Neurospora crassa OR74A: one gene and its partners. The protein of the gene in region 3 interacts with the protein of the main gene of each other region in a biochemical or structural test. Links are inferred from orthologs where the notes say so. Each region holds a gene or a part of one and is shown on either strand. Other genes may lie near its edges.

Region 1 (8,328 bases), on a different chromosome or scaffold from region 3:
TTGCCCTGTTGTATCTGATATGTGAGCAATCGATGCGATAGGACAAACTGGGCCACTTCCGTGACTACTCACCAGAAAGTTCTGAGCAACCAGTCATAGACTTTTTTGAAGAGCCCGGCCATGGTGGGTAATTGATGTGAAGTGATGCGATGGCGGTAGTAGATGCGAACAGGACGAGAACGAATGAAAATCGTCGGGATCCGAAGGAGTTATAGACAATGGCGTAGGCGTAGACCGGACTGATCAACAGGTTGTATGGTCCGGATATTGACAGCAGCAGCGCACGCAGAGCGGCAGGCAGGTCTCAGTCGGGATATTACTTTTGCAGGCAGACGATATAACAGGTATGGTACAGGACACACGAAGAGCAGATAATGAAAAGAAAATAAAAGTAGAATGTCTCGTATGACTCTGGCACACCCGTCGCGGGCTGGCAAATCTCGCAACGAGGTGGGAGATGCAGTTCTTGTGCGATCTGGGTGGGATATGGGGTGGTTGAGGATAGTCCGTCCGAAGCCGACGCGGGGCTGTCTGGCTGTCTGGCTGCTGCTGGGGTGCCGCGCGGGTGTGAGAGTGACCGAGTGGGTGACTTGACTGTGTGTAGGTGTGTGTGTGTGAGCGACTGGGATTCCGTACGGGCCGCCGCTCGCCAAGGTGAGATGATGAATGACCTCTCTCTTCTGGAGGAAGCCTTCTGGAGGAAGAGTGGTCCGTGCCCCGAGCCGTGATGATTTGACGGATGTACTTTGTTAACTGTAGTACACAGATGAGAGCGGCTAAGACCCGGGTTTCATTCGTTTCCCTCCCAGGGCAGTAGTAAACCAGAGTTGCTGGCGGTGATCAGACTGCGAGCGTGCGATGGCGGATATCGATGAGCGAGAATAGTCGAGGTAGCAAGTGTTGGGAGATGATCATCGGCGGGGGAGACAGACTGGAAACGGAAGTCGCCAACTGGAACTAGAAAGGGAACTGTGTGATACCCGCCCGTGATCACGGACGAGAGCGTCTGAAAAGAGGGACCGGGAAGAGCAAAAGCAGGGTGTCTAGAGTATCAATCGATGCTAGGGTCTCTAGAGACTAGACTAGCTCGGGGGAAAGACTGGGGTTGATGGCGGCAGAGGCGGAGGCGGCAATAAGACTGAAGGTCGCACGAGGAAGAGAAGACGGTGTGCCAAAATGGTCAAGTCTCGGGACAAGACAACTGAAGGTGACTAGGCTGGAGACTGAAGAGTCAGGTAGGTACTGTAGTATCGGCGGGTCTTTTGGTTTAAGGGCGGATGGGAAAGGTGTATAAGGTTGGATCGAACTGGAGGTTGCCGCTGCGGGATGTTGATGCTGATGCTGATGCTGATGCTGGGATTCCCTTATATGGGATGGCGGATGGCAGATGGCAGATACTGCAGGGACTGTTGCTTCTGTTGTTGGTTGAGTGCTCCCGTCTGCTTGCGTTCTGTGCGTGCGCAGTCAACGGGCCAGTACGTAGAATATGTAGATCAATCAACAGAGTCTAGTCTAGCCTGGTAAAGTCGCCTTCGTTCGGGTCAGTAGTGTTCGTTGGATATGTGGACGCAAGATGGCTGCTGGTTCGTCCGTCTGTCAATCAATCAATCAATCAAGACCGGGAACTGGCTGGGATGGATCTCGCTCGCCAGGGACAATCAGATCAGGGCTCGGTAGCCGGATGGATCTGTCCTGCTCTAGTCCCTTTTTTCTCTTCCGTCTCCCAAAGCTGTGTAATCCTTGGAGAACCGTTGTTTGTGTTCCTCGACGCTGAACGAGGAGATAGTGTGTGACTGGTAGGGTTGAGTGAGGACGGATCCGAATTGTACTACGGGCAGTAATATGAGGCCGAGATGTCAAAAGTCAAGTTTGTGTGAAAATTTGAAAGACTCCGTCAAGACTTTTGTTGTCTGTCATTGTACAGTAGTAGCGACTGGACTGGTAAGTAGACCTGAAGACTGAGCCTACAGCACAAGAGGAACCCTGAATGGATCAAGACGGGAAGGTGGTGTATTGTAGAGGCCACCAACAGACGCAACAGCGGGGTAGTTGCCTTCTTCTGATTGGCCCATTGAGCTTCGGGGCAGGTTCCATTCCCCACGCTTCAAGGCCCATGACGGAAGGAGGAGCCCTTTGGACTTTCTCTTGTTGAGCTCAGTGAGATCGATCAATCCTCAGCCATCACATGAGTGTGGAAGGCGACATCAAGGGAATGTGGTTACCAAGGAGAGACACTATACCTCTAATGACTCGAACTGCTTCTCGTCAAGTTCAATACAGTCATGGTGAAACCCGAGCAGCTCGTGTTGTTTTACAGGCCCCAAGGCTCAATCAAGGTCACCAGGAGACAGGGCCACTTTGCCTCGGGCTTAAGAGATGTCTTGGTGAGTGGAGGGAAGAAGTTCCAGTCCGCGATACTTGCTGCCTTGACCTTTATCTAGTACTTCCACAAACAGTGATGCTGATAACCACCACCAGTAATCACCACTCGAGGCTCTTCCAGGCTCATTGACCAATGCCACAACCCGCCAGTTATGGCTATCCAAGATTACCAGTGATTGCCCGATTAAACGACCATCCCGTCTGACGGAGTGCGGAGTGAGGGGAGAGTGCAGTGCATAAGTGTAGGCAGCTGCATAGATTTTGCGGAGAGGACTAGTACGTACAGGCAATGCAGGACGCGCCGGGTACGGATGAAGATTCGAGTGATGGCATTTGATCCACTTCAACTTGTGCTAACCGTTTTTGCGGCCTTGAATGGGATGAACGGGTTTGAGGTTGCCGTTGGTTTGACTGACTTATAGGCCGACGGCCACTCCCTCTTCAATAATACTGACACAGTCCGCGATAGGGCCGGGCAGAGTGGTCGCCCATGTTCGGGCCATGAGCTCTTTTGCTGCTGATGATAATCACCGAAGCGACTCAAAGTGTCCAAAGTCCACTTCTCATTCGGCCGGGAAAGAGACGAACTACCTACCATAGGTACCTAGGATGGGAGGCTGGAAGCGAGGCGGGACCGGAAAGCCATGAGGTTAGGCCTCGAAGACGGCCGCCATATGGCCTCTCGGGGAATGCAATCTACTAGTGTACCAACGGGATTCGACTTGAAAAGCAAACATTTGGCCGTTGGAAGAAGCCAACATTGTGAGGAAAGGCTGAGAAGACTGCCGACTTTCTCCTCCTCAAGAAATGTCATCACCTATACTACTGGACCAATGAACAGTCTCCTGCTGTGGAGCTCAACCACTGACGAACCTCCAACTCCCGTCCCATCCTCATGGGTCACAACGTCACGGCAAGCAACTTGACACTCCAGTGGCGTGCAAAAAGGGTCTGATATCAACAGGAAGAAGTGAACCACCTGTTGTGCACAATAATCTTGACATGTCCGGGATGGAACATGTTGAGGTTGCACTGCGTGCCCGTTGAATCATCCACATCTTGTGTCTCCTCTCTTCGTCGTGCCATTCATGGACCTCCATCCTCAGCTTAAACTCAGTACTCACTCAGTACGGCATTCTACACAGCACCGACGCCAGGCACCAAGCACCTCACTGGCCATCGGGACCCTGTTGGTACTTCCTCGTCCGGCTTAGCGTCATCCAAACCTGACAAAATCGAACTGTGGGGCAGTAGTCCGATAAGCGATAAGCTCTAACAATTCGAGGAAAAAAAAAATCAATGCAGCGCTGGGGCGGGCGGCGCATTCAATTCTAGTTGTTGACGCGCTCGAAAAGTTGAAGGTCGGTGTCCACGCTTGCGACTGACTGACTGAAGGGACGGAAACAGTCCAAGTCAACAACGAAACCAAACCATATATCCCGTTTGAGAGATCAATGCCCCCGGCGCATATCTCTGACAACCGTCCCGATACCCAGCCGGCAGATTATGAAGGAATAATCCAAGGAGCGCTTCACTTTGCTGCTTAGAAAGCAGACAAAAGCCCATCCATACTTCTGGGTTTGATATCCACCTTGAAAACACCAACCCGCATATCCCGAGATACTGCACCCAAGGACAGGACCCCAAGTCCTCCTCACACACCAACACACAATGGCTCCCCAACAACCGCAGCCGACCAGCCAGGACTGGGACGTCGAGTTCAACCAGGTCCGCCGCGAGAAGCTCTTCCGAGACCCCCCGACCGACCGCACCGCCTATCCCGCCCTCCAGGCCGCCGTCGACCCCCACATCGAGTCCTTCAACGCCCTCTTCCGCGACGATGGCAAGCCTTCCCTTCTCGACCACGCTCTGGCCGAGATTGGCACCAAGACATTCCTAGACGGCGATGAGCGCGCTGATCCCCAGGGCAAGAACAAGCTCACCATCCGCTACAAGAGCATCGAGTTGCAAAAGTCTCAGGTCCCGCCCACCAACCGCTGGGCCAAGAACCGTGAAATCTTCCCGGCCGAGTGCAGAGAACGACATGTCTCATACAGGGGCAAGCTGTCGGCCACCTTTGAGTATCGCATCAACGATGGCGAGCCTCACGAGTTTGTGCGCGAGCTCGGCCAGATGCCCATCATGGTCAAGGTAAGCCTGGTGACCCGAGATATTCCCAGTCTACATCATCGATGTCTAACAATTCTGCTTGCGAAAAAAACAGTCCAACAAGTGCCACCTCCAAAACAACTCCCCTGCCCAGCTGGTAGCAAGAAAGGAAGAGTCCGAAGAATTGGGCGGTTACTTCATCGTCAATGGTATCGAAAAGCTCATCCGCATGCTCCTCGTCAACCGGAGAAACTTCCCGCTCGCCATCGTCCGTCCCAGTTTCCAGAACAGAGGCGCCTCCTACACCCCGTACGGTATCATAATGCGATCCGTCCGCCCTGACGAGACCTCCCAGACCAACGTCCTCCACTACCTCAGCGACGGCAATGTCACCTTCCGCTTCTCGTGGAGAAAGAACGAGTACCTCATCCCCGTCATGATGATCATGAAGGCCCTCGTTGAGACAAACGATCGAGAAATCTTCGAGGGTCTTGTCGGCCCACCCCAGTCCAAGGGCGTCGCCAACACCTTCTTGACCGACCGCGTCGAACTCCTCCTCCGCACTTACAAGAAATACGGCCTTTACAGCAAGACCCAGACTCGCGCGTACCTCGGCCAAAAGTTCCGCGTCGTTCTCGGCGTCCCCGACACCATGTCCGACTACGAGGTTGGCACAGAGTTCCTCCGCAAGATTGTTCTTGTCCATCTCGGCTCCCAGGACGTCACCGAGCAGCAGGATGCCGACAAGTTCAACATGCTGCTCTTCATGTGCCGCAAGCTGTACGCCCTCGTTGCCGGTGACTGCGCTGTCGACAACCCCGATGCCGTCCAGAACCAGGAGATTCTCCTGGGTGGTTTCCTCTACGGCCAGATCATCAAGGAGAGGCTCGAGGAGCTGTTGACCGTTTCCTTCCGGGCCTCCCTTCGCGACTACCTCAGGAGGAACCCCACGGTATCTTTCCAGTCCGACACTTTCCTCAAGGACTTCCCCATCGCCATCTTCCGCAGGGCCAACGAAAACATTGGTCAGTCGCTCGAGTACTTCTTGTCTACCGGCAACCTTGTGTCCCCTTCCGGTCTCGATTTGCAGCAGGTTTCCGGCTTCACCGTCGTTGCCGAGAAGCTCAACTTCTTGCGTTTCATCAGTCACTTCCGCATGGTGCATCGTGGTTCCTTCTTCGCCCAGCTCAAGACGACAACGGTCCGTAAGCTTTTGCCCGAATCGTGGGGTTTTCTCTGCCCTGTCCACACTCCTGATGGTTCTCCTTGCGGTCTTCTCAACCATTTGGCCCACAAGTGCAAGATCATGACGGAGTCTGTAGACGCCTCTACCATTTCTCGTCTGGCTTTCGAGCTCGGCGTTGTCAACATTTCCTCGGCTGCCACCAGCGAGAGCGTAGTCGTTATGCTTGATGGCAGGATCGTCGGTTGGTGCACCCCTGAGGAGTGCAAGTCCATCGCCGAGACTCTCCGTTACTGGAAGGTCAACGGCGAGAACGGCGTACCTCTTCAGCTCGAGATTGGCTACGTCCCTCCTTCCAACGGCGGTTCTTACCCCGGTCTCTACATGTCCTCTCAGCCCGCTCGTATGGTCCGTCCCGTCAAGTACCTCCCTCTGCAGAAGGAGGACTTTGTCGGTCCTCAGGAGCAGCCTTACATGTCGATTGCCTGCACGGAGCAAGAGGTCATCCCCGGGGATTCTACCCACGTGGAGTTCGATCCTACTAACATCCTCTCCATCCTCGCCAACATGACCCCCTTCTCCGACTTCAACCAGTCTCCCCGTAACATGTACCAGTGTCAGATGGGTAAGCAAACCATGGGTACACCAGCAACGGCTCTTGCCCACCGTACGGACAACAAGATGTACCGTCTCCAAACGGGTCAGACGCCTGTTGTCCGCGCACCTCTGCACAACACGTACGGTTTCGACAACTTCCCCAACGGCATGAACGCCGTCGTCGCTGTCATTTCATACACTGGTTACGACATGGACGACGCCATGATTCTCAACAAGTCGGCACACGAGAGAGGATTTGGTCACGGTAGCATCTACAAGACCAAGAAGGTCAGTCTCAAGGATGACAGCAGGACACGCTCGGCCAAGAGCATCGTCAAGATGTTTGGCTTCGCGCCCAACAGCACCATCCGGGAGTCCACCCGCGACATGCTCGACAACGACGGTCTCCCTCGCGTCGGCCGTCTTCTCCGTGAGGGCGACGTCATCTGCGCGTGGCACACCGTTTCCGCCGACTACAACGGCCAGCTCGTCAACCGCGACGGCGTCACTCACTACGAGCGGTACAAGGACTCGGAAGACGCCTTTGTAGAGGAAGTCCGCGTCATCGGCGCCGACAATGGCACCGAGCCCCTGCAGACCGTCTCCATCAAGTTGCGCATTCCCCGTTCCCCCGTCATTGGTGACAAGTTCTCGTCTCGTCACGGTCAAAAGGGTGTCCTTTCGCAAAAGTGGCCCGCCACCGACATGCCCTTCTCGGAAACCGGTATCCAGCCCGACGTCATCATCAACCCTCACGCTTTCCCGTCGCGCATGACCATTGGCATGTTTGTCGAGTCGCTAGCCGGCAAGGCTGGCGCCCTGCACGGTCTCGCGCAGGACTCCACCCCCTTCAAGTTCGACGAGCAAAACACGGCGGGCGATTACTTTGGCCACCAGCTCATGAAGGCTGGCTACAACTACCACGGCAACGAGCCCCTCTACTCGGGTATTACGGGCGAGGAGTTCCAAGCGGATATCTACATTGGTGTGGTCTACTACCAGCGTCTGCGTCACATGGTTAACGACAAGTACCAAGTGCGTACCACTGGTCCCGTCGTGCCTACGACTGGTCAGCCCATCAAGGGTCGTAAGAAGGGTGGTGGTATCCGTGTCGGTGAAATGGAGCGTGATGCCCTTCTCGCTCACGGTACTTCGTTCCTCCTTCAGGACCGTCTTCTCAACTGCTCGGATTACTCCAAGAGCTGGATGTGCCGTCAGTGCGGCTCCTTCCTTTCCACGCAACCCACCGTGTCGCCATTTATCGGCAAGCGCAAGGCCGTCAGCACTGTTAGGTGCAGGAACTGCGCGGTCAGGCTCGACGATATGGAGGATGTCGATCTCATGCAGATTGACGGAGAGATTTGGGAAGATGGCAGCGGTACCCAGTGGATCGGTGGAGAGAACACTACCATCGTTGCGGTGCCGGGTGCGCTTAAGTACTTGGATGTGGAGCTGGCGGCTATGGGCATCAAGCTGAAGTACAAGGTAGATAAGAAGGATGAGATTAGGAGGGGACAGTTGGTAGGGAAGAAGGCGGGCGATTTGATGTTGACGGCTTAAGAGATATGAGAGTTCTATGTAGGTATGGATGGGTCTGGTCAAAGGGTACAGAAAAGTTCCTATGTATGGGTTTATGTGTTTAGCAGCATCATGGGAGTAAGTTAGGGTAGTGTAATTTGCAATGTTCGAATGTTTTTCTCTCATGTTTCGGTCATACCGGCAGACATTTTCTTATTCCCATGGTATGGTGAAACCATGAACAGGAGTAGCATGTGTTGGGACACTCGAGTGGATTTGACTTTGACGCAAGTGAGCTGAATCCCGTCACCCACAGGTCATCCTTCATGGCTATGAGCAGTGGTTTGATGACAAATGCAAACTTGACGGTAGCACAAGAGAACGATGTACCTGAACACGAGAGTGGGAGATGACACCAGGACGCAAGATTGTGTTTAACACGATCGGATAGCTGCCGTGACCCCTAATGATAGGTATGCGTGTCAACGATGGTGCAGTTGAAGAAGATGGGGTTTGGTGATGTAATTGGCAGCATGATG
Region 2 (8,328 bases), on a different chromosome or scaffold from region 3:
GCTTGAACTCGTTCCGTCTTTTCTCTGCCTCTCGCAGATGAGCTAAAGTTGCTGCGGTTGCGGACGGTTCAGTCATCGATGCATCTTCCTTTGGACGCTCGTCGCTGTGCTGGTTGCTGTTCACTTTGCCATGGATAATTGATTCTTGTGAAAGTGGCGCCAAGGGCGAAGAAGAAAGTTCTGGCAAGTCTGGCGATGGTGGAGTAAACGTGAATGAGGGTAGAGGGGGACGATGTGCTCTGATACCGCCGGCCCCCCATCCTTCGTCCTCGGAGGGATGCGATGGGTCAGAGTCAATCCACAAACCTGGCTGGTGTTGTGGTCTTTGACTAGTCCGCCGGGTTTGAACTGTCAGCGGAGATGAAAACCAGCTTTTGGCGCTTAGTGGGTGATCTGTGTCTTCCTCTTCTCGTTGTTGATGGGCTGATGATAAGGTGTGACACGAAAGGAAAGGAGTCGGGTCCCTCTGAAAGTGTGGCGAAATCTTAGCACTGGCGTCTTCGTCTTCTTCCTCCTCCTCCCCCATAGGCTCTGCCGCCGTACCAAGTTCTTGTTCTCCATTCCCATTATGCGCATCAGTGGTCGCATCGAGCTTTTCGATGAAAGGAGCGAGCCGAATCTTCCTAGGCTCCCACGAAGCTGCATTATCGCCTTCAAGACGTCTGAAGAGACTGTCATCTTCCTCGGGCTCGCATATCCAGGGATGAGTAAGAGCTTGGCGCGCCGTGAGCCGGTGTTTGCTGTTGTAGGTGAGACATCCGCGAATGAAGTCCTTTGCATGGCTTGAGATGTTTTCATCTGGACGGAGGCGGGAGGTTTGAGGGTCAATGGGCTCATTGTCATTGCCGTAGTCTTCATCGCCATCTTGAACAGCAATGTCACAGCCGAGGTCATTGAGGATGATGTTGAGGTAGCGGTCGATTCTGTCTTGGCTGGTAAAATCGAGATGACGAAGATTCGGAAGTTCTTGGAATCCAGAGAAAAGCTGAAGGCAAAGCATCCCAATGGACCAGATGTCGACAGACAATGAATGACCTCGCTCGGAGTTATAGCATTCGCTGAATCAAGCGTTAGCATTGCTCTCAACAATCCAGTGACATATGTCAACCCAGGAGGGGAAGTGCGAAACTCACGGGGCGCGATAGAAGGTTGTTCCAACCTCGGACCTTAATCTTCCACGGTTCGTAACAGCCGAGTCCCCAAAATCGGAGAGAACAAGCCTGTAGGAGACATTTGGCGCTATGGCACAGAGAATATTCTCTGGCTTGATGTCTCGATGTGCGACCCCCTTGTTGTGGATGTAGTCAACAGCATTGAGGGTCTGGCGTATGATCCAGCGTATTTCTAGCTCGGGGAGTGCCCCCTCGCGTGATAGAAGTGAGAAGAGATCGCCACCAGTAGCCAGCTCTGTAAAGATATACCTAGAGATACATTAGTTGCCCAACCCTGCTAGCTGCTCGTGATGAAGGTCTTACACCGAATGCTCTGATTCGAAGGCAGCCTTGATGGAAAGAATATTCGGCTGACGACTTTTGTTAGCTTGATCCATCGTCCCGTGCCCTTTCAATGACTTACGTGATCGAGGTAGCTCAACAGCATTGCCTCCTGCTTGATCCGACGGAGTATCTGGTGTGACCGGGGCCGTCTATCTAAGTTGTGCACTTTGCAAGCCACCTGCTGCCCTGTCAAGACATCTGTGGCTAGGTAGACCACAGCATGGGCACCGTTTCCTAATGTGCGGTCTTCCACAAGGTATCGGTTCTCAAGGAGCTGGATGTTGCTAAGTCAGATCATGGCATGTTTTATTTTCGTCGCACGCCAAGATAACAATAGTACCTTGAGCTCCTCTCGCTGGCGTGCAGTGAGCCGCAAAAACGAAGTTCCCTGCTCGAGCTGAACGAACTTGAAAGTGATGTAAGGATATATGGAGATGACATCCCCATTCTGGAGTAGTCTTCCCGGAGTGATGTCTGGCTTCTTCCCAACGCACTTTTTGTTGAGCAGAGTCCCGTTGGAAGACTGTCGGTCTCGCACAAACACAAGTGATGTATGGCGACCTTCTTCGTCAACAGTGATAGAATACAGCTCAAAGTGGTTTCTTGAGACAGTGGAATCGACAAAGACAACGTCATTATTATCTCGGTCCGTGTCACGACCAATTCTGACTGTCTGGTTTGGCCAGATGTAAAAGCCGCCTGGACTTGCGACACGAAAGTTAGGGAGCACTGGTTGGAGGAGACCAGCGAGGGATACATCACAGTATTCACGATCACTTCAGGGAAATGACAGATACCTACCTCTTGTAGGAGGAGCAGTGCTAGTGTCTTCGAAGGAAACACTTGCCACAGGCGGTTGCGACATATCAAACCAGCTGTCAACACCGAGACACGGAAAACAAAGGATAATGATAATGATAAAGCCGGCAATGTCAACGTTCACTCATGTATGCGTTGATGTCGTCACTTGCGTCCGTAGATAGTGTTGACTATTCATGGCCCACCGTGGCTTTGCGTATTGAGAAGTAGAAGTAGGTAAAGGTTGGGAACGACACTCAGAGTTCAAGATCACAGGACGAGATTGGAAGAGTGAGTTGGTGCCTTGAGGATCGACTCCTCCTTCCCATGTCCAGCTATCGTGAAAATCTTTTTATGCAGACAGGTCGTGCCTTCCTTTGACCTGGACGGGTGCAGCTTGCAAGTGAAGTGAAAGTGCAGTGTCCATTAGTAGGAGCGGGAGGCAGGCTCGCTCGTTGGAGGACGAGACGGGAGTCGATCTCCGAGCCGAGCTTCTGATGCAGTCCAGCTGAAGCTCCCGTCCGTCAGCGGGAGCTTGGGCCACCTAGGGCAAAGGTCGCACCCCGCACGGACCGCATCCAAACAAAGAGCGGCAGGCCTGGGCAATTTGGGCCTGCGTCACCTGACTTACCCCACAGGGCTGCTTGCCCTGGAGCCCTATGAGATAAAAGTTCCCCCTCTCCATTCGCAAGTTGAAACTCTTTCCCATCACCAACAAGCAAAACTCATCTTTAAATCCAAGATGTACGCGCTCCCGCCCCCCAGCATTTGCTTGCCCGCCTACTGACATACAAGCAGTTCAAGATGAGAGCGAAGTGGAGAAAGAAGCGCGTGAGACGCCTTAAGCGCAAGAGAAGAAAGATGAGAGCGAGATCGTAAGTTTCACCATCGGCGCATCGACAGTTGATGCAGCTACAATCGCCACTCAGGAGCATATAAGCTGACTCGATCCCAGCAAATAAACGCCTCGCCTCACTCGACCCAATCAGCTCTTGACATTATCCTCTAAGCCATTAGACAACTTGGGCTCGGTGTCGACTCCTCCCCTCAGCGCGGAATGACGCCACATCGGTCGCTCTGAAACCTTGCGGTGATCAGGCGAACTCAGGGTTCCTACGGAACATGCACCCCTCGGGACATGCTGCACATCAAACTGTGGCACACATAGAACGGAACTGTTTGGTGGCGGATATGGTATTGGCTGGTTGCCTGTCAACTTCATGGTTGAGTAGCAACAAGGTGTTTACGGATCAACGCCGGTGGGAGCAAACTGTCTAGTTTGGAGACGCGAATTCGGGATACCCGTCGCAGCAACAATAAAGGCCGCTTCGCTTCATGATACACTTCTCTGCATCTGTGACAAACGGGACTGCATGTCTTGGATCAATTGTTTCTGTCGACAACATGGTCATCTGCCCTCGAACAGGTGACATGGCATTTGCACACAAAGGGAATACCAATTTTTGCAACATCAGTGAACATTTTCAACGACGGGGAAGGCAGTGGCCTGCATGCACGAGGGCATAGAAATCGCGTCCCAAGCCTTGGTTTGCCTTGTGACTTGGACTGAACCCCTCCATGTCTGGTTGATTGTTTTAGCACGCGTGCGGCTTGCTATTCTTCATCTCTCCAAGCAATTTAACAGCAAACCAATAGCAATTGATTTCATAGCATGAAGATTTCGCGCTTCGTAGTATTTCAACACAAATCATCAAACATATTGCATCGTCGTCATCAAATGTGGTGTGTCGATTGTAAAGGCGGTAACTGATACCGGACCCCGGCAGGCGGCAGAATTTTTTTCTGGCTGCGGGATCCACTCGGAAGTTCAGACAGCGACTCTCCAGCTGCATGATCCATTTGATTTGGCGGGACTTCACGACTCTACACTACCCCAGCACCTTTGTAGCCCGCAAACACCACCATGGGAAGCTCATCAGACAAGAAGCGCAAGAGCGCTGAGGATACAACACCCCAAATCAAGAAGAAGAAGGTCGACTCCGAGAAATCGTCCAAGTCGCCCAAGTTCATCAATGTCGGAGCTGTGAAGAGGCCGCAGTATGCGCCTCCGGTCGTGGGTAAGCACATGTTGATCGGCTGAAACCATGGCCGTCAAGTCCAATGGAGGAAGACTCTAACATGCGCTCCTAGCCGCGACCTCGGGACTCGCTCTCTCTTCGTCCATACAATTTCAAGCCTACGCCACACCAGCCGACAAGACCTCGAAGCGCAAGAAGAATGGCGCGCCCGCACAAGAGTTGCTGCTGCACTCTGCCAACCACCGGACGATGGACTACACAGCTCGCGAAGATAGGACAGGAGACTCGTCCGACCCATACCTGAAGCACTACATTGGCATCTTCAACCCCAAAACCGCCGAGGTTGAGATTGTAGAGGCGCGCAAGATGGTGCTCCGTGGCACAGTTAGGTCGCAGAAGGCGGTTGACGAGGCAATGGAAGAGAAGACTCAGAAACAGGTAAGCCTGGAAGTAGTGGTCAGGGGCATAAAACCAGACTGACGGTGCAACAGCAAATGATGGCCATGAGGAACGAGCTCGGCGAGGCATTCGGTACTAAGAAGGCGAAGAAGGCGATCCGCGACGTGACGGAGAACGCCATTACATCTCAAAAGGTTGGCCAGAGCGAGCTGGTGATGATGGACGCCATCAAGACCGCCACCAAGGACATGTCGACCAAGGAAGACCTTCAAGCCGCTGTCGACAACGCCCGACCGGTACCGCGCGGCAACTTCAATGCCGATGAAATCGCAGACGTCTACGTACCATCCCAAATTATCGGATCCGAGGTCCTGAACGCGATACCAGTGATGGATTGGCAGGAGAGCGTCAAGAACCTAGAAGACATCCAGGTACCTTCGCGCTTTGTCGCCAAGCGCGTTTCCAACGTAGCAAGCAGCGACGACGCGGTGCACAGATTGAGGGTACTGCGGTACCTCTTGTTCGTCATCATTTTCTGGAATGCCACCTCGCAAGGAAGGGAGCGTGGCACAAGAAGCATTGGTAAGAGGGATAAGCTGCGCGAGGTTATGGCACCAGCGCCCGAGATCGTGATTGAAAACATCCGCCGCAAGTTCTCGGACGGCGGAGTCATGCGCAAGACACACGTTGACCTTCTGATGACGCACTGCTGCGCATTTGCCGCCATCATCGACGGCTTCAGGGTCAACACGATTGACTTGAGAGAAGATCTGAAGCTGGAGCAGAAGCAGCTCAACCAATACTTTATCGAGATTGGAGCTCGCGTCAAGCAACAGAAGGTCGCTGACAAGATGGAGAACTTTGCCGTCCTGCAACTGCCTCTTCAGTTTCCCAAGATCAGACTGCCGGCACGGAAGAGGTAAACCACGCTTTGCTGAGCCGGACCCACGGCCACGGATCATATCATCAAGTTTAGTTGGATTGTGCGCATTGCACATCATCCACCCAGTCCTACATTGGACATCTTGGCGCTTACGTTTGGAAGTACCCTACGAAGTGCTGAGAAAAGGCATGCTTTTTGCGAGAGAAGCGATCATCCAGCTCAGTTGGAAGTCTGGCCGCTTCCAGCCTGTAACCACCATGGTGTGTTGTTGAGACACACCCAAGCGACACCCAGGCGCTGGCCAATCAAAATTCCAAGCGCCTAATCGAGAGGAGGCCATGACCTGTACCGCACTATTTGAGCATCTTGCCGAGGTATACATCAGTTATTTTGTGGTTCGGGCAGTAAAAGCTAGGCTAGAAAGCATATATCATTGTATAGACAATGTAGAGAATAGTCATGGAAATTGATGGGCCATAAGAAGTATGGCGGGAAGCTTGTCCCTCAGTCTTTATCAAGCTCTGAATGGGGTCAAAGAGATGACATTGAAATCTAGGAAAAGGGTCACCCCACAAAAAGCTGGCCCCCCTGGGTTCTGGTTCTCAAGTGCCTCAACGCTTGGCCAACCCCTTTGTGTTTGTTTACTACTGATATCCGCACGGACCCAATAACGAAGATGGGAACTGATGACGGGCTTCGAGATGAGTAATGGGGCAGAGATGATCATTAACCTGAACCAGCTAACGCCAGTTGATGTGCAAAATCAGAACCACGAACGTCAAGCTAACATATGTAACAGGAAGAATGTCCGCGGCAAATCCTACGCAGATATCAGAGCAGCCGACGGCCAGGCTAGAAGAAAACAAGATGAAAAGGTAGTTATATGGCTGCCCTGGATGGGCATCCGCCCAGGCGTCACCTTCTACCGTTGTCCCCTTTCGCTGGCCGCTGGCCGCTGGCCGCCCCGCGGTGTGAGACGCCGTCGGTGGTAGGTAGGGCTGGGCCGAAGCCGATCACCCCACGATGAAGTTCCTTCCCCTTGTGCCTCCCCAAAGCGTCCCCGACTTTGTCCGTCCTCCCCGTTTCCCCTGGCCCATTGCCTTGACCATCCCATCGTCCGTGTGCCGGCCGCTGCTTGTGCTTCCCCTCGCTCCAGTCCAGTCCCCTTAAGTTGGACCCCTTGGCGTTGTGCAGAGTGAAGGCGCTTGAGCCGCATTCGAAAGCCACGTGGGGAAAATCCCCACCGAGCGACCAGAGCCAGTGCAGTTTTCCTCACCGGCACCCACCCCGACCAGCTTAAATGGTATGACGACATTGCCTCTTTTAAAGAGCTTTTGGGATCTTCAACTGAGACGCGTCTCACTCTCAACGACCATTTTCCACAGATTATTTTGCTCTCTAAATTGCGGCTTCAATTTTGCATTTACACACTCAATGCACCTTTCCCAATGCTGTCTGATGTCTCTGCTTTCAATCTGAGCAGCCATTCTCTGCAATTTTGTGTTGGTGACAGCGACAATACGAGTGCTCAATTCACGACGCGTCAAAGTTGGGTCGACGGGCGAATTGTCGGGGCAGGGGGTACTTTGCGATTTTTTCTGAGGTGATTCGCAATGCCGGGGCTGGTGCCTGCAGCGCATGGACCAGCTTTTGTGGTCTCTGGGCGTGCTGATTGGCCAGGACGGTGCCAACCAGCGCCTTTCTTCCAGTTCCAGTTTCATTCCAGTTCACAGTTCCGCGAACGACCTACCTGGTAATGAAGGGAACGAACGCGACCGACCGACCGCTGACTGTCCACCTTCTTGCCTCCCGTCTGCCGCACCCCAGGCAGCTCACCACGCTCATTCACTCACCACCTCAACTCCAGTGACACTTCTTTCACGCCAGTCCTAGGTAGTCTTTGCCCCTGCTTCTGGCCTCCCTCCCGTCCTGCCTTCCTTCTGCACAACCTACCTACAATTCACGGCATCTGACCGACTGCACTCGATATCTCCCGCCGAGGTGAAGCTACTTATCCATCCAGCTTCGCGACTTTCAACTATAACGACTGGAGTTTGCTTCAAGTCCTCTCCTCTCGGGAAGTTATGCGCGCGCGCGAGAGGATTTGCACCACACTGCTGCCTCCCTTCACTACTACAACCTCTACATAACATACTAGCTCGGCACCAAGACCGGCACCGCAGTCCGACTTCAACTCCCCAGCGAGCAGTCTAGTCTAGTGCCGGGCGTGTGTTCGCGTGTGTGTGCGTGTCTGCTGCCGTGTGTGTGTGTGTGTATGCATATTGCATTACCCAAAGAAAAAAAAAAAGAAGCATCGTCGCATCAGTCGTCGCATTCTACCAAATCCTCCTACCTGCCCAGTGCCTCTCCTAGATGCCCTTCGACTCTCTGTCTGGCTCTACCTCAATTGCGCCCTTGGATAGGTTTTGCTCTGTCCAAACCTCAAGGCAACTTCGACCTGAACTAAAGTGCTCCGTCGATGCAGCGGTACATCCCACCTCCTGTTAGTCGTCAACCTGACAGCAAGGTGAGAGCCGACCGAGTGTTGACCCAATTTCACCCCCCCACGGCACCTAGGTCCATACCAGACAGAACATAAATCTGTATGTGGCTCTCTTTTTTTCTGGTTGTTCAGTTGCCTCTTTCCATCCCGTCCCTTTGCTCCCACTTCCCATTGCTTCCCTTGACCTGTTGACGCATCCTGTTTTGCTCT
Region 3 (8,328 bases):
TGTTGCTGGATGTATTTATGTGTGTGTTTTGTTGCTATTATGGACTTGGTAAATGAAAACGCTTTTAATCCATCGTAAAGAGCGAGAGACTCTAAATTCAAGCCGCTTTGTATAGTTTTGTTGCCTTGTTGGTAGCAAAGTTGGAATGGAATGTTGGTTCCAAGATTCGCCAGAGGAAGAGCTGACGTTGGATGGCAAAGCGGGACTCGGGTTGGGCCCAGTTAGAAGCAGGATCACCGAGGTTAGGGTTATCCGTGTAGCTCTCACCCAATCCTGCCGTCGCACTGCTAAGGAGCATAATACACTGGGTCCAGGGCGCTTGAGGCTTAATCGCCGTCCCACCCATTGCACAGTCAGCCGCAATTCCCGTGTTGGGCTTACTCACTATCAGCGTCTATCAAGCGTTGCCCGCCAATGGCTTTCCACTCATCCATCTCGGCATGTTCTGTCGCATGAGCATGGATGCGCAACACGCATTTTCTCTGAATGTCAATGACGAGATGATATGGTCATACGTTTTGAAGCTTGGGTAGACCGGTCCTCATGTCTTTTCCTCAAATTTAATCAGACACGGCGGAGACACGAGGTGCAGCACCTGCCCGACGAAGGAAAGCTGGACGACCAAGGGTAAATAAACTTGGAGGGGACCTCATTCGACCCCGAACCAATCACAAGGCCGCCAGCCTTTTATTACCCTATCCAGGATCAGTGTCCGCGTCGTCTCCCGTTTGCTAGGTAGTGTACGTAGCTAGGTACCTCTAGAATTGAGGATGGTAGGCCGATGGTACATAGTGTAGTGTAGTGTAGAGTAGTGTAGAGCGGAGGACAGGCCGGCCATTCGGACCATTTACCTACACTAGGCGGAGAGGGGGAAGGGAGTGCGTGCTCATTCCCTTCCCGTCACAGGCACATGAGAGAGAGGAGACGGGCGGGACTGGAACGAGCCCCATCCTATTATTTCTTCCACTTCCGTCTTATCCATCTCTTCACTGTACATACACTCCATCCTTCACCTTCACAACGAACTCTCATTACGGCTGAGTCGCAACACGCTCACTCGTCCACCACCACCACCACCACCACCACCACCACCACCTCCACCACCACCCACACGTCCACACACGCAGCCGCGATCGTCGTCATCTCCATATTTGGACACCCATCCCCGTCACGTCGGACACGTTCCCTCCTTTTTTGCTTCTTATTCAACCGACACCTCCCATTTGGCACCTATCTCTTTTTGTTCATAATCCCATTTTTCTCCTTCGCGATTGATACCCCCCCCCTCTACCTCCCAAGACACACGTCATTTTACGCCCTTGATACCACATCCAATATTCACCTTCCCTCGACATTCGCGATTGTCTAGGTCCCGATGCCGATTGCGTAGTGCACCACTCTCACTTCCACATCACGACGAGAAACGTACCGTACCGTACCGTACCGTACCGTACCGGGTCGGGTCGCGTGCGTGAAGCCATGACTACGGAAAAGAAGCGCAAGCTACCTCCTCGTGCCGCGGCGAGGTCTGAGCAGGCCGCCAAGCGAAGACAAACCGACACGCCTCCGACCTCGAGAAAGTCTTCCACCCCAGCGCCCGCGCCCCAAAAGGAGCCCGAGCCAGAGCCCACTGTGGAGGAGCCACCCAAGCAGACATTGCCCAGCTCCGTCACAGCAGGGAAGCCGCTTCCTACCGTCGAGGAACCGCAGCCGGAAGACCTTTCGACCAAGGACTATCAGACTCTGCAAGAAAGGTGTGCAGCCCTCTTCAAACCCCCGCGCGTTCATGCGCTTTGGCTGAATCTAACATGACCACTTCGCAGCGGCGTTCTCCACGAGTCCTTTGTCCGATCGCGTAACCAATGGATGACCGAGCAAATATTCGAAAAGTACTGGACGAAGCCGATAAAGAAGAGGGGTGCCGTCATCGAGGAACCCAACAATCCTCCCAAGGACAGCATGGTCAAGCTGGGCCAGGTGACAATCACGGTTGAGCCACATGTCTTCGAGGCGACAATGTTCGCAGTCAAGGACCCCAACCCCCCTCCGCCAAAACCGCCAACCGAGAAGCGACCGATCCTCGAATACGGACCTCCGAATGGGGTCATGCCGCCTCCTCCTACACCCAAGCCCAAGTCAGTGGCGGCCTCAACCTCGTCAACACCTACGCCAGCTGCATCAGACGCCAAGAAACCGACCACAACAGAGGCAGATCCAAAGGTCACCTCTCAGACAACACAACAAGCGGAGGCCAAGCCTCAAACACCAGGCAAGCTAGCAGTACACCCGACGTCACAGACACAGCCGACCAAACAACCATCCGCGCAAAGTGCTCCTAGTCCAGCTGCTGCGGCCCCATCCACGCTCGCGAAGCCCGCTGGAACGCCTAGAGGCATCGAATCACTTCTTTCACCATCTCCGTCCTTGGCGGCTCCGCGGGCCCCAACCACAGCACCAGCTGCTGGTGCGCAACCACCCCGACCAGTGCCCGTCCCACCAACCGTTCCACCAAGTGCTGCGACTCCGGCCACCCCCTCAATACCATCTGGTGTCCCCCCCAGACCAGCAACAGGGGCTCCAGCAGCTCCAGCAGCTCCTGCCACGCCAAGAACCACTGCCAATGGCGCCGCACCAGCCAAGCCAGCTGCGGGGGCAGATCCAATCATTCTCATGCTAGCCGAGAAGGCTGGCGAAGACCCCCAACTCCGAGATCTCATGAAGCGGGTGGCCCAGGGAGAGGCCTCCAAGCAGGAACTCGAGCGATTCCAGGGTATCATTGACGCCATCACGTCAGAGAGCAAACGGCAAAGCAACATTCCGGCGCCACCAGCTGCAGATAAGTTGTTTGTCGATGGAAAAACGGTCCAGTACTTTGCGGATGAGGTAGCTGCAATACTTGACATTGTTCTAGCATCCAACCCTAAGCAAAAATCATCTACTTTACAGCCGCCCAAAGACAGCGATGCTCTCCTGGTCTCGTTAGTAAAGATGGCCCTGGACGATGAAAAGACGAAGGAAATGGTCCGGCGTATAGCCCACAATAAGCCTCAACCCACCGATGCCACGGATCTTAAGGCGATTCTGGACCTCGCGCATTCTAACCTTGTCACTAAAAAGACTCAACAGCAACGACGCCAATCAACGGTTTCGGCAGCGGGATCTTCGAAACAAACCAACGGCGCGAGCAATGGGACTGATGGCGGTACAGGAACGACCTCACAGGCCAACGCTGCTGAGGAGAAGAAGACGACGGAGAAGGCCGAAAAGGCCACAAAGGAGAAAGGAGAGAAAGCCGACAAGTCATCGGCCCAACAGGCGCTTCGTTCAAAGGGCCCCCCGCCGCCGCCCAAACAACCTGATTATTCGGCCATCGTATTCGAGTTTGCGGGAGGAAACGGTGATCGGTACCTCTTTCCGAAGTTCAGCATTCTGGATTATCAGACTATTCCCAGTAGCAGCGCTAGCAGTACCCAAGGACAGCAACAACAACAACAGCAGCAACAGCAGGTGGTGGCGTCATTCCTTATCATCAGGAGGGGAAGCAAAGCAGTATATCCGATGGCGGACCCGGAGCTTGATTACTACCAGCCCATAACTATAAGGTTGTTTACGGCGGCTCCCAGTGGCAAACATGTGCTGGATAATTTGGCAAGAGTAGTGGCGCCGGAGGAAGAGGTCAAGAGGTACATGGACGATATCATGGATACCATGCAACGAAGCGAATACGTTCTACTGGCCATGAGGCTGCCCAGACCCACCGAGACGGCAGAGAACGGCGAAGGAGAAGGAGATAAGGCGCAGGACGGGGCCGGCGCGGCCGGGTCTGGAAAGGGACAACACGCGAAGGAGAAAGACAAGGACAAGGAGGTGGTGATGATTGATGCTCCATCAAGAGCGGAGGAAGCGGCGGCGGCGGAACTGAAAGCGCCAAAGGCGGCAAGGACGGGGGGAGTGTTGTGGACGACGGCAAACAAGCAGATACCCAAGCCGGAGATTAGGGAGCTTCCACCGAGGCGGAATGCTAGAATCATGATGGAGACCGCGGAAGATGAGCAGTATCAGAGCTTCATTCAGACGGTCACCCGGAAGGATAAGGAGGTGGTCAGGTGATTGTTTTTTTCCTGGAGGAGCGCTGTATCATGTAGATAGTTTTGTCTGTCTGTCTCTGCCAGGAGTTGACTTTTACTTGGCCGTGTTTACTAGGTATGAAAGGTTGCCTAGTAATGGTGTTGACAAGGGCAAACGAAAGGGAGGTTATCACGGTGCAGCGCTCTCTTCTACATACTCTATCAGCTGAAAGTACTTGTACTTCAGCCACGTGCGCAAATGAATAGACGATGAGGTATCTCTACCTACCTAGGTACCCGTCCTGGACTGCAAGGTCCTGGTCGAATGTAACCTGAACAAAAGGAACCTCTTGCCGGCCGGAGACCTGACCTTGGCCGCGAATAGCCTAGCGGCTTATTCCAGTGCTTGGCAGCAGCAGCAGCACACTCCCCTGCCGTCCAGTGTCCTCAACCAACCGGGGGTGGAGGTGTGACCGTCCGTGCTTCCAAGTCCACCCACTCACTGTCCAGTTGTGGGCCGTGCAGCTCTCTTTCCGCCTCACGACCCGCGGTGCTGCTGCTGCAAGTCTGCAACTGAACACTCACAGCGAGTCGACGCCTCAAAAGTCGGTCCATTTCCCACCACATCATCCATCGGCTCGAGGCCAGCCAATCTTCCTTTTCTCACCTACAAATATAATCCCACATCTCGCGACCTACGGCCATCTCTCCCTTCCTCTCTCCTTTTCCATCTCTCGCCCACACCTCGACACAACGCGCGACCGCCGGTAGTACGACTGTACGACACCCCTGTCGCTCGCCGCTCTCTTTCAGATAAATTATTCAGAATGGCGTCAAACAGCTGGCAGTTCGCCGGCGCCGACGACGAGTCCGACGATGACAACTTCAACCCCGCCCCCGCCGACATGTCGGACGAGGAGAACAACGACAACGACGAAGAGACCACGCACAACCACCGCCCCGCTGGTAAGACCGTGAGGCAGGCTAGTAGCCCGGTACCAGACGAAGAAGAGGAAGAGGAGGAACATGACGAAGAGGAAGACGCGCGCCCGGCCAAGCGATCGCGTCGAGATCACCACGACGATGACGAGGATGAAGAGCAAGATGAAGAGGAGAACGAGGAGATAGATGAGGAGGAAGAGGAGGACGAAGAGGAAGAGGAAGATGAGGAAGACGAGGATGATGTTCATGGTGTAAGTCCGGATCCCAATAATGTCCCTCCACACTTCAATTCTGCAGCACCATCCCATCCACACTTGCCAGAAAAAAACAACAAAAGACAAGTCCCGGTGCAGATGACCCGCCAAACCTACCCGTGTCGCCACATCGGGGACCTAGCTAACCCGCTGTCTTTTGTCCGCAGGGCAATCGTCGCAAGCGTCGCAACAAGGACCGTAGAGCTGCCTTCTTCGATATCGAAGCCGAAGTTGACGACGAAGACGAGGGAGAAGACGAAGTCGGCGACGGTGAAGAGATAGAGGACTTCATCGACAATGCCCACCCTGACGATATTGCCGACAGCGGCCGCCTTAACGATGACAGAAGACACCGCGAGCTCGACCGCCGCCGAGAGATGGAGGCCAGCCTCGACGCTGAGAAACAGGCAGAGATCCTGCGTGAGCGCTACGGCAAGCGCGCCCCGGCTAGAGGTTACGGAGACATGGCCATTGTGCCCCGTCGCTTGCTTCTTCCCAGTGTCGAGGACCCCAGCATTTGGGCCGTCAGGTGTAAAGAAGGAAAGGAGCGTGAGGTCATCTTCTCGATTATGCGTCGTATCGAAGAGCGAATGGGCACCAAGAACGAGGTCCCCATCACGGCTGCTTTCGAACGTGGTGGTATCAACTCGGTCATGAAGGGATACATCTACGTTGAGGCTCAAAGACAGAACGATATTCTCGTGGCTCTCGATGGCATTCTCAACGTTTATCCCAGGAGCAACATGCACCTCGTCGAGATCAAGGACATGCCCGACCTCCTGCGTGTCATCAAGACGCCTAACCTGGAGCCCGGCGCTTGGGTTCGTCTCAAGAAGCCGGCCAAGCACGCCGGTGATCTTGCTCAGGTTATCGACGTTACAGAAAACGGCCTCGAGGCCAGAGTCCGTTTCATTCCCAGACTCGACTACGGTGTCAGGGATGACCCCGTCTTCCAGGCCGATGGCAAGCGCAAGCGCCCCGGTGTGCCCGGCCCTCGTCCTCCCCAGCGTCTGTTCAGTGAAGCCGAGGCGCGCAAGAGACACCCCCGTTACCTCCAGGGGAACCCGCAGACCAACAGCTGGAACTACAACGGCGATGATTTCGAGAACGGTTTCCAGGTGAAAGACATCAAGATCCAGCAGCTCGAGGTCAAGAATGTCAACCCTACGTTGGAGGAGGTTACCAAGTTCGCCAGTGGAGCCGAGGACGGTACAGAGAACCTCGATCTTAAGGCTCTTGCTGCTACTCTCAAGGATAGCGCTAAGAGTGTTGCGTACGTCCCTGGTGATATTATCGAGGTGTATGAGGGCGAGCAGCAGGGTGTCATCGGCAAGGCCACCAATGTTCAAGGCGACATCGTCACATTGCAGGTTACCGAGGGTGATCTTGCTGGCCGGACCATCGACGTCCCCAACAAGGGTCTGCGCAAGAGGTTCAGGATTGGTGACCACGTCAAGGTCATTGGTGGCAGCCGGTTCCGTGACGAAGTTGGTATGGTTGTCAAGATCGTGGACGACAGAGTCACCCTCCTCACAGACCAGACCAACACGGAGATCACCGTGTTCAGCAAAGACCTCCGTGAGGCATCTGATATTGGTGGCCAAGGCTCTCTTGGACAGTACTCCCTCTTGGATCTTGTGCAGTTGGATGCCACGACTGTCGGCTGCATCGTTAAGGTTGATCGCGAGTCAGTCGTGGTGCTAGACCAGAACGGCGATACCAAACAGGTCCAGCCGTCGCAAATCACCAACAAGCTCCCCAAGAGGAAGTTCGCTGTGGCTGCTGACCGCAACGGCTCCGAAATCAGGCTGGACGACGTGGTCCGTGAATATGGTGGCCAGCAACGCCAGGGCAAGATCATTCACATTCATCGCTCTTACATTTTCCTTCACACCACGACCACCAACGAGAATGCTGGTGTTTTCGTCACTCGGGCTAACAGCGTCACCACGGTCGCGGCCAAGGGTGGTCGCAACACTGCTACTGCGGGCCCAGATCTCAGTGCGATGAACCCAGCCCTGAAGCGGAACCCCACTGCTAGCGGCAAGCAAATGCCAGCTCCGCGAACCTTCGGACCTGATCGGGCCATTAACCAAACCGTGGTTATTAGACGCGGTGGTTACAAGGGCTTGCTCGGAATCGTCAAGGACACAACGGACACTCATGCTCGTGTGGAGCTGCACTCTAGGGGAAAGATTATCACCATTCCCAAGGCTGATTTGAGCTTCAAGGACAAGGTCACTGGCAAGACCATTGACATCAACCAGCGCGGTGGCAGCCGTGGTGGCTTTGGTGGAGGAGGACGTGGTGGCGGCGAGTTTGGAAGCAGGACCCCTATGGCTTCGGGCGGATCGGATCGTACACCGGCTTGGGGCTCTTCTCGATGTAAGTTTTCTGTTGTCATGTTTTATCATCACTATTTGCCTGAAGCTAACATTGTCACTAGCCACAGCCCGTACCCCTGCCTGGAACCGCGACGCTGGCGGCTCGCGTACACCGGCCTGGAACGACGGCTCCCGTACCGTCAATCCCTACGACGGCAGCCGCACTCCTTACGGTGGTGCTACCGCCTACGGTGGCATCGGATCCCGCACTCCGGCGTGGCACTCGGGTTCTCGCACCCCCGCCCCCGACAGCTTCGGCCACGGCTCCAAAACACCAGCCTGGTCGGCCGGCTCCGACAGCTGGGGCTCCAAAACGCCCGGTTACGGTGCCTCTGCTCCTACGCCTGGGGCTAGCGGCGATGCCTGGGGCTACACGCCCGGCGCTTCAGGCGGCGGTAACTCATCCTCAGCTTACGATGCGCCCACGCCCGGTGGCGGTCTAAGCGCGCCCACTCCCGGCGCGGCACTCAACGCTCCTACACCTGGGGCGTACTCGGCTCCGACGCCGGCTGCTGTCAGCGCGCCCACTCCTGGGGCCTGGCAGGGTGGCTGGGGAAGTGGCGGTGATGCTGTAAGTGCGCCGACACCGGGTGCCCTGGGTGCCCCTACGCCGGGAGCACCGGGCTATGCGGATGATGATTAGAGACCAAATTCCGTGATGAGTCCTAGGGTGTAGGAGGA

The links.
Region 1: the proteins of NCU06929 (region 3) and un-18 form a complex in vitro, tested with the Saccharomyces cerevisiae proteins (2 studies listed by BioGRID). The link is inferred for Neurospora crassa OR74A from reciprocal best matches to the Saccharomyces cerevisiae genes SPT5 and RPA135.
Region 2: the proteins of NCU06929 (region 3) and NCU06485 form a complex in vitro, tested with the Saccharomyces cerevisiae proteins (2 studies listed by BioGRID). The link is inferred for Neurospora crassa OR74A from reciprocal best matches to the Saccharomyces cerevisiae genes SPT5 and RPA49.

Annotation. Positions count from the first base shown.
Region 1 is NC_026501.1:9,613,766-9,622,093, reverse strand, and holds un-18 (DNA-directed RNA polymerase I subunit RPA2), read left to right. Parts: upstream 1-3,366; 5' UTR 3,367-4,053; coding exon 4,054-4,533; intron 4,534-4,606; coding exon 4,607-7,831; 3' UTR 7,832-8,041; downstream 8,042-8,328. Other genes in the region: NCU08618 (ADP-ribosylation factor family protein), read right to left, coding at 1-5, 73-122; NCU08617 (hypothetical protein), read left to right, coding at 2,186-2,384, 2,479-2,558. UniProt on the Saccharomyces cerevisiae protein: DNA-dependent RNA polymerases catalyze the transcription of DNA into RNA using the four ribonucleoside triphosphates as substrates. Component of RNA polymerase I (Pol I) which synthesizes ribosomal RNA precursors.
Region 2 is NC_026503.1:1,580,529-1,588,856, reverse strand, and holds NCU06485 (hypothetical protein), read left to right. Parts: upstream 1-4,145; 5' UTR 4,146-4,218; coding exon 4,219-4,372; intron 4,373-4,445; coding exon 4,446-4,771; intron 4,772-4,824; coding exon 4,825-5,655; 3' UTR 5,656-6,179; downstream 6,180-8,328. Other genes in the region: stk-43 (serine/threonine protein kinase-43), read right to left, coding at 1-1,058, 1,134-1,421, 1,476-1,522, 1,576-1,770, 1,837-2,195, 2,298-2,361. UniProt on the Saccharomyces cerevisiae protein: DNA-dependent RNA polymerases catalyze the transcription of DNA into RNA using the four ribonucleoside triphosphates as substrates. Component of RNA polymerase I (Pol I) which synthesizes ribosomal RNA precursors.
Region 3 is NC_026507.1:790,157-798,484, forward strand, and holds the start of NCU06929 (transcription elongation factor spt-5), read left to right. Parts: upstream 1-4,589; 5' UTR 4,590-4,894; coding exon 4,895-5,260; intron 5,261-5,430; coding exon 5,431-7,648; intron 7,649-7,709; coding exon 7,710-8,290; 3' UTR 8,291-8,328. Other genes in the region: NCU06928 (hypothetical protein), read left to right, coding at 1,480-1,754, 1,824-4,110. UniProt on the Saccharomyces cerevisiae protein: The SPT4-SPT5 complex mediates both activation and inhibition of transcription elongation, and plays a role in pre-mRNA processing.